Linked DNA regions of Yarrowia lipolytica. The protein of the gene in region 1 interacts with the protein of each later gene in a pairwise test. Links are inferred from orthologs where the notes say so. Each region holds a gene or a part of one and is shown on either strand. Other genes may lie near its edges. The genes, in order: YALI1_F27343g and YALI1_E26205g.

What was found.
Region 2: the proteins of YALI1_F27343g (region 1) and YALI1_E26205g interact in a protein complementation assay, tested with the Saccharomyces cerevisiae proteins (2 studies listed by BioGRID). The link is inferred for Yarrowia lipolytica from reciprocal best matches to the Saccharomyces cerevisiae genes MCD4 and ERV25.

What each region holds. Positions count from the first base shown.
Region 1 is NC_090775.1:2,730,860-2,736,258, reverse strand, and holds YALI1_F27343g (uncharacterized protein), read left to right. Parts: upstream 1-1,929; coding exon 1,930-4,728; downstream 4,729-5,399. Other genes in the region: YALI1_F27356g (uncharacterized protein), read right to left, coding at 1-570. UniProt on the Saccharomyces cerevisiae protein: Ethanolamine phosphate transferase involved in glycosylphosphatidylinositol-anchor biosynthesis. Transfers ethanolamine phosphate to the first alpha-1,4-linked mannose of the glycosylphosphatidylinositol precursor of GPI-anchor.
Region 2 is NC_090774.1:2,618,680-2,621,776, forward strand, and holds YALI1_E26205g (uncharacterized protein), read left to right. Parts: upstream 1-1,890; coding exon 1,891-2,526; downstream 2,527-3,097. Other genes in the region: YALI1_E26223g (uncharacterized protein), read right to left, coding at 2,847-3,097.

The DNA.
Region 1 (5,399 bases):
TGTGAGACCAATTATAGGAGTCATTTGAGTCTCAGGGTTGAAAGGAGGGTTTGCAGGAGCTCCGAAATGGGGTGCCAGAGTTGGGATTCGAGCAATGGGATAAGGGACATGAACCAGCTTGGAAGTCACGGACTTGGAAGCCTCGTCTCGAACAATCAGTCGTCCTCCAATTCCTAGATCTCTGTCCCACCACACAGAGCTGAAAGCACCAGAGTAAGGAGCCACACCCAACAAATTATACCCATCCACAGGCTGCTTGATACTGATGGGCTTGACTCGGCCACATAGAGCATCGGTATGCGTGGCAACAACTCCGACACCGTTTCCAGGCGTCCAATTCTCACCAATTACGAATCCCATGATAGCGCTTCCGTTTCGTCGCACGTAGAACTTATTGTGTGTCGTGAGGTCCCATTCGTCTCGCTCATACAACTCCTTGTATCCAGCTGCATCAAAGTCTTGGGCCAGAAGATCGCATGCATGGTAGGCCGTGGGGGCGTTGGACATGAAGTCCATGAAACGCTCAGCTTGCTCTTTCCAAGACATGTTGTGTTGCATAATGTCGTCCATGTGTGGTGTTTATGTATCAGATATCAGCCCTGTACAGAATGAGCGCGGTAGCTTAGCTACTTGTAGTTAGTCTCAGTGACATGCAGCGATTATGTGGGGTGTTATATTGGGGGACCAATGGGGGTGTGGGAAGCGTTTGTAGGGAAGGATATACACTAGGATAAGTTACTGTTTGGCAAGTGTTTACAAAAGTAAATGATATTGTTCAGATCACCGACGAGTTTCCTCTATGGTTTGTAACGTGTCTATATACAGTAGTGGGTGGGTGGCAGCTTATACTCTCAGTGGCTGGTCAGTGTCCTAAATTCAGCCAACTCGACAGTGGCTAACATGGAAGGGCTGTGGGTGTACTTTTCGATATGCTGGAAGGTACAAGTATATCTGATTCGAATTAGTTCCGAAGTAAAGTGGGAGTGGAACAGAGTGCCCCAGATATGTTATATTCGCCTCCATTGCCAGTCAGATGGTGTTCTACTTGTTCAACATCGTTTGTTTTTTCCTGCATATACATTCATTTAATTATACAGTAACTTTCAAACTACTGTACTTGAACTACAGTATTATCTTGCGTACAACAAAAGTCATACGTAAAAAATATAACAAGAACCGTGTGTACCTGTGCAGCCGTTTGCTCTTCGAGTAAGAATTCCATCTGGTCGTTAGGCCTTCATATTGCTTTATATGATACAAGTATTGTACAAGCACTTGCAACCCGACACGTCAACTAAAACGTGTACTACGTATATGTCCTTTACGAGTACAACTACTGTACAGTATGTACTTGTAGCTGTTATACGAATGCACTGGCATTACGAAGAACAAGAGATAATAAGTGATGTCTATACATGTTTTACTGTATGGCATTGGTGCAAAGTCAATAATACAAAATATTGTATATAAAAAGTCGTATGTGACCCTCTGACAACGATTGTGTCAACTCCCACATTTCTCTCAATTTAATTCGAATTACTATGATATATTCTAGTAAATCATCCGTATATACGCAATTAAATTTAGATTCTATTTCCGATCTCGAAGTGGGACTACAGAACAAGTACAACAGAACCTAATACTCTGATTTCGTGGAACACGCGTGTTTTTTTCACTTGACACGTAGCCTACTGAATCAACTTACTTAGATGTAAAAGAGGATGATCCATAATCTAATGTACGTCCCTGGGGTCCCTCAGATCCACTAGACTGGCTCAAGCTGGTTCTTCTGCTAGCACCTTCCGTACACACCCCACATCTGACCCCTTACAACCCTATCCCACGTGTAGACGTGGTTCATGCAGCATTCACCACTAAGGTCCTTTTTGTGCTTGACGATTCGCCAAATCACCATATTGCCCAGATAAGATGATATCGCTCAACAAGAAGCTGGTGCTGCTGGTGGGAGTCATTTTCCATGTGGCCTTCATGTGGTCAATCTTCGACATCTACTTTGTGTCGCCCTTGATCCATGGCATGAAGCATCACCAGAGTACCGCTACTCCGCCTGCCAAGCGGCTGTTCCTCATTGTGGGAGACGGTCTGAGAGCCGACAAGGCCTTTGAGAAGGTGCGACATCCCACAACTGGCGAGTCCGAGTACCTGGCTCCTTTTTTGCGTTCAAAGGTCATGTCCGACGCGACTTTTGGCATCTCACACACCCGAATGCCCACAGAAAGTCGTCCTGGCCATGTGGCGCTCATTGCAGGCTTCTACGAGGACGTGAGTGCCGTCACAAAGGGATGGAAGGAAAACCCTGTGGACTTTGACTCCGTTTTCAACCAGTCCAGACACACTTACTCGCTTGGATCTCCCGATATCTTGCCCATGTTCAAGCATGGAGCCGAGGATCAATCGCGAATTGATGCTATCATGTATGGCCACGACTTTGAGGATTTCACAAAGGGTTCTATTGAGCTTGACGCGTTCGTTTTCGACCACCTGGACGAGATCTTCGATAAATCAAAGACCAACAAGACTCTGAACGACCAATTGAGATCCGACAAGACCGTCTTCTTCCTGCATCTGCTTGGAATCGACACTGCTGGTCATTCTTACCGACCCTACTCGGCTGAGTATTACGATAACATCAAGTACATTGATGAGAACATCGAGAAGTTGGTGGACAAGGTGAACAAGTTCTACAACGATGACGAACAGACCGCTTGGGTGTTTACGGCCGATCACGGCATGTCCGATTGGGGTTCACACGGTGACGGTCACCCTGATAACACTCGAACTCCTCTCATCGCTTGGGGAGCTGGAGTTAACAAGCCAATCCCCGCCTTCGAAGACAAGGGTAATCACGACGACTACTCAGAGGTCTGGGATCTGCCTGTCAAGCGAAATGACGTCAACCAGGCTGATATCGCCTCTCTTATGTCGTACCTTGTGGGTCTCAACTACCCCTCTAACTCTGTCGGAGAGCTTCCTCTGGCTTTTGTGAACGCTACTTCTGAGACCAAGGCTCTGGCTATCCGAAACAACGCTCTTGCTCTTGTGGAGCAGTACCTAGTCAAGGAAGAGCAGCAGAAGGGTTCCCAGATCATTTTCAAGCCTTACCCTCCCCTCTCTGATGCTGGAAAGACCATCGATGAGAGACTGGCCCATATCGACGAGCTGATTGCCCAGGGACTCGACCAGGAGTCGATTGTTGCCTCTGAGGAACTCATGACATATGCCATCACCGGCCTTAAGTACCTTCAGACCTACAATTGGCTGTTCCTGCGAACCCTGGTGACCATAGGCTTCTTTGGATGGATTGCTGTTGCCTTCTGCTCTTACCTGCTTGCCTTCGTGGTTCAGTCCGACAAGCCTTTTACCACGTCTCTTCCTCTCAAGGGAGTTGCCTACGTTGCCCTGGCCATTCTTTCAGGCTTCTTCGTTTTCCAGAAGTCTCCTCTCCACTACCACCTCTACGCTGTCTTTCCTGTTGTCTTCTGGGAGGCTGTCTTGCAGAGGCGAACTGCTGTTGCCGAGGGTATCTCCATTCTGGCACGACGATCTACCTCTAAGGCTCCAGCTCTTGCTGCTATTTTGGACATTGGTCTCTCTCTTGTTCTCCTTGAGGCCATTGTTTACGGGTACTTCCACCGAGAGATATTCTCTGTTTGTTTCGGACTCGCTACTCTGTGGCCCTTTGTGCACAACTTCACTGTTGCCAAGCGAGAATGGCCCACTACTCTTGCCTGGGTTGTCATGTGCGCAATCATGTCTTCCTTCACACTTCTGGAGGTCGTGAAGGTGGAGTCTATTGAGCAGATTCTGCTTTCTGGTGCCCTCATGCTGGTCATTGGACTGGTGTTCACTATTCATCTGCAGCGAAAACTTGCTCTTGCGGCCTCCACTGTTTGCGTTCTCTTTGCTCAGATCCTTCTCGTTGTTGCAACCATGTACTTCACTCGAGAGTCCGTTGAGTCTCTTACTGCTCGAAACGGTCTTCCTCTGTTTTCTCAGGTTGGAGGATGGATCTCTCTTCTTCTCTCCCTTGCAGTGCCCTTCTTACACTTCCTGGGATCTGATGCCAAGGACTACAGACTGCGTCTGCTCATCATCTTCCTGGCATTTGGACCTACCTTTGTCATCCTCACCATCTCGTGGGAGGGATTCTTCTACGTCTGTTTCTTTGCTATCCTTGTCATCTGGATTGAGCTTGAGACTCAAATGCGAGATGCCCGAGTGACACCCCAGACCCGGGCTGATCTTACTCCTGGTGACTTCCGAATGGCTTTGTTCACCTTCTTCATGTCCCAGATTGGTTTCTTCGGTATTGGAAACATTGCCTCCATTTCGTCTTTCTCTCTGGACTCTGTGTACCGATTGATTCCTGTATTTGACCCCTTCTCCATGGGTGCTCTGCTCATGTTCAAGATCTTGGTGCCGTTTGCTGTCCTATCTGCATGTCTGGGCATCTTGAACCTGAAGCTTGGAGTTCCTCCTTCGGCGCTGTTCTCCATGGTCTTGTGTGTCTCCGACATTCTGACACTCAACTTCTTCTATCTGGTTGTCGATGAGGGCTCATGGCTCGACATTGGCACTGGTATTTCACACTACTGTATCGCCAGTGGTCTCAGTCTGTTCATGATGGTGTTAGAGTACCTCTCTGGCGTTTTAGTTGCTGGAGTGACCATCGCACCGCACGTTTCCAAGATCAAGAAGGACATGTAAATAGAGTCCGGGGTTTTGGATAGCAACAAACACAAAAAATGAACACAACGTATAACAAATATATATTATTAGAGTATTGAACAGGGCCTGCCGCGTGTACTTGTGGGTACCCGTGGTGTCGTTGGTGTTCTTTATGTTCTGCCCCTTCGTTCGATGATTAAGGTTTTATTATCTCAGGACCATATTTGGAGTGTTTCGGTACAGCACTTGAATTATGTAGCCTGTACATCAGGAGATGCAGATAACCGGCTGTATGGAAAGAGAGGCACATTGAAGGTATTGTAGTCGTCAATGTGTATATATACGGGCAGTGTGTATTAAAACAAACATCTTACTTTATACTGTATATTCATACTCATATTCATCGTAGCTCCTATTACATGGTGTAACGTTACTGTACTGTCAGTCATTACTTTTTCTGTGAAGATCAGTGGCCTCTGGTGTTTTTGGCCAACAACATGATACCATTTTTTTTTTTTTTTGCATATACATTCATTTAATTATAACTTTGCCGTGATATTGGGAGTGGAAAAAGGTGGGTACAGTAGACGATAGAGCACTACTTATACAGCACGAGAGGAAGTTTTCCTGACAGTTGAGTGAAATAATGAGCTACCATAAATCAATCAATCTTGAGATTGTTTGTCTGCGATAATATACCACCACCTCTA
Region 2 (3,097 bases), on another chromosome or scaffold:
ACCAACCTTAGGTGGGAAAGAGGTAAACAGATGATTGGAAAAAGGTGGACTTAGTGTAGACATGTGTCAGTGGACATAAAATGAGGGACACAAGCTTCTTGAAAATCCTCAGCGCCTTTTGTCGTGGTGTTTTTCCACCCGGAAGCATTTCTACAAGAGCGTCAAATAGGGGGATGCAGCAAGTCCCAAGAATACAAAAATACCAACCTCATACAAGCACTTGTCCCACCCACGCACCCTTCATGCACCCTTGCACATGTCAGCCAATTGTGGTTATATATATAAGGCGGGCTATAGGCCACTTTGAGACGGTAGTGCCAGTGGGTGGCAGTCTGGTAGCGGCATTTTCCGCCCCACGGCTGATTATAGACTGCCACGGTTTCAAAAAGACTCAACATCCGCCTCTTTCGGCGTCTCTCTCGCCCGCAATATCTCTCACTGTACAGCCAGCAAACGGTATATTGATACATACAGGTAGGGCGGGTTTAGGCTGTAGGGAAAGGTGATGAGCCAGCCTCGTGCAAGGGGGGACGTGAAAAGAGCGACCTACGAAACCACCAGTTGGGATGGAAACAAACACAAAAAGCTCACTTTCAAGGACATGAGACTGCTGGGGTCGTGTACAGGAATTGCACTCCCGGCACACTAATTATAATCCCACATTCAACCCCTGACATTGACAGCTTGCAGTCTCCAGATAATTTAAATTGAAGGCTAATCCGGACCTGACAACACATGAAGTTGCACCAGTGATTGCAGAACAGAACAATGGTACTTGTACAAATACGAGTACTGGCCGAAGAGAAGTACATACGGTATATATATTGACCGATGACTTCTTAGATAGGCGAGTTAGACCACTACAAACATTGCAATATTGCAGTGTACAGTATGTATACTATACCGCGATGTGCTGTAGCTGGATACAGTACGATACCGGAACTTGTGCTGACACTTGAATTTTTCAGTCGTACTTTCAATCGTACTTTCAGTCGTACTTTCAGTCGTACTTTTAGTCGTACTCTCACTCGCACACTCGCCTCGTACAGTGTACATAGTTGTTCCGATAGCGATCATCTCTCCAAACTGATACAGAGGATCGACATGCTGCGCTGTCTGTCGGTGGTCACTATGCTTGATATACTACAAGTACCTGTAGCTATAGTGCAGTCATAATCTGACCGAGAAATGGAACGAAGCCATAGCCGAACTACAATGTAGTACCACAAGATGTGAAGCAGCAGCCAAATGAATGAACCTAGTTGGCTTTGGTGTTTTTTGGGCACCTGTTGACCCGCTTATTCATCCTTCCACCTCACTTGCCGTGCGTGTCTCTCCCAACTCGACCCCGGCACACGATCATATTACTGTATGCGCCAACGATCTTGTCTGAAGAGATGGATTAAGTTCTGTTGGAAGAGGAGGATCACGTGAATTGGGGTATAAATAGAGACCTAGACGTGTTTCGTCGGTTCGGAGGCTGTCACAACCCATCCCCCAACCCCAACCCCCCATCATATTCGTCACGTGACGGTGCGCTGCTCTCCCTCTCATTGCTATGAGTCTCCAACTGCTTCGTGGGCGCAATCAAGGTTCGGAGTTTTGAAAGGGTCTTTTCGCTTGATCTCAGATTGAGAGCCGTGCGCAGTGGACGTTATAAGGACTCTTTTCGACTGGCCCAGACCTCACTGCAAATCCACAGTCTGAACAGGGCCCCTAGCCACCCTTATATACTTTCTAGCCACCAGCTATACCGCTTTTAAGGACCACAAAGTTACCACCTACCACAACCCTGAACACGCGTAAAGTTAACACGTAACTATCACACGCTAAGTGCACTCCACCTTCCTACCTTTTCAACTCAACACATACACAGACCGAACGCCAACCATGAAATCCATCGTGAGCGTGCTGACCCTGCTGCTCCTCATCAACGCCGTGGCCGCCCTGCGGTTTGTGCTGCCTGCCAAGGACAAGAACGAGCTGCCCTTTTGTGTGCGAGACTTTGTCAAGAACGGCGAGCTCGTTGTCGTCACTGTCGAGTCTCCCAAGTACGCTGACGGCCAGCAGCTGAGCGTGGTCGTTCGAGACGCACATGGAAACGAGTACACCCGAATCAAGAATGTTCTGGGCCGAGAGATCACCACCTTTAGCTCTCATCAGGACACTGCTCTGGACGTGTGCTTCCACAACGTGGCCAACTCGCACCAGGATCTCGGAAAGACCAAGGAGATTGATCTGTCGGTCGCCATTGGAGCCAACGCCCGAGACTGGGAGCAGATCCAGGCCTCCGAAAAGCTCAAGCCCGCAGAGGTGCAGCTGCGAAAGATCGAGGAGATCGTCGATGAGGTGGACAAGGAAATGAACTACCTCAAGATGCGAGAGATCAGGCTGCGAGACACCAACGAGTCCACTAACCGACGAGTCAAGTTCTTCTCCGTCGGCATCACCTTGGCTCTCATTGCTCTCGGCGTCTGGCAGATCATCTACCTCAGATCTTACTTCCGATCCAAGCATATCATTTAAAAGGGGTTCAAATCAAAAAATTGATAATTGTTAGAATGAAAAGAGACACAATGTGACGCGCTCGAGAATGAGGACGCTTGAAAAGTGTCTGCTTGTAGTGGTCAGAAAGGACTGTTGTGTACTCGTAGAACGTGAAAGCTGATTTGGACGACAAATCGTGATCTGATGAACAATGGTTATAACGATTGTAATGGTTGCACTATATACTCACTACTTGTATGGTCATTAGGTAATTCGTATCTTTCGTTACATATAAATAAACGCTCGCCAAGAGGTCATCGCATATGCTTGCGTCTGATCTGGGTCTCTCTTCTGGACTTTTAGAGCTTCTTCAGTAACCCCTCAAATGCTTGAATATCAATCTTGCCGCCGACAGCTCCAGCCACCTCCATCATGTCTTTGAAATCCTTCTCACTGGCGTTATCTTTCACCAACTTGGCTATTCGTCGTAGATCAGCAGTGTTAATCGTGTCTGACTTTGTGAACCATGAGAACGCCAGAGGCACATCTTCTACAAAAACATTGTTCTTCTTCCTCTTCTTCTTTTTCGGTTTCTCTTCAATCGGCTCAA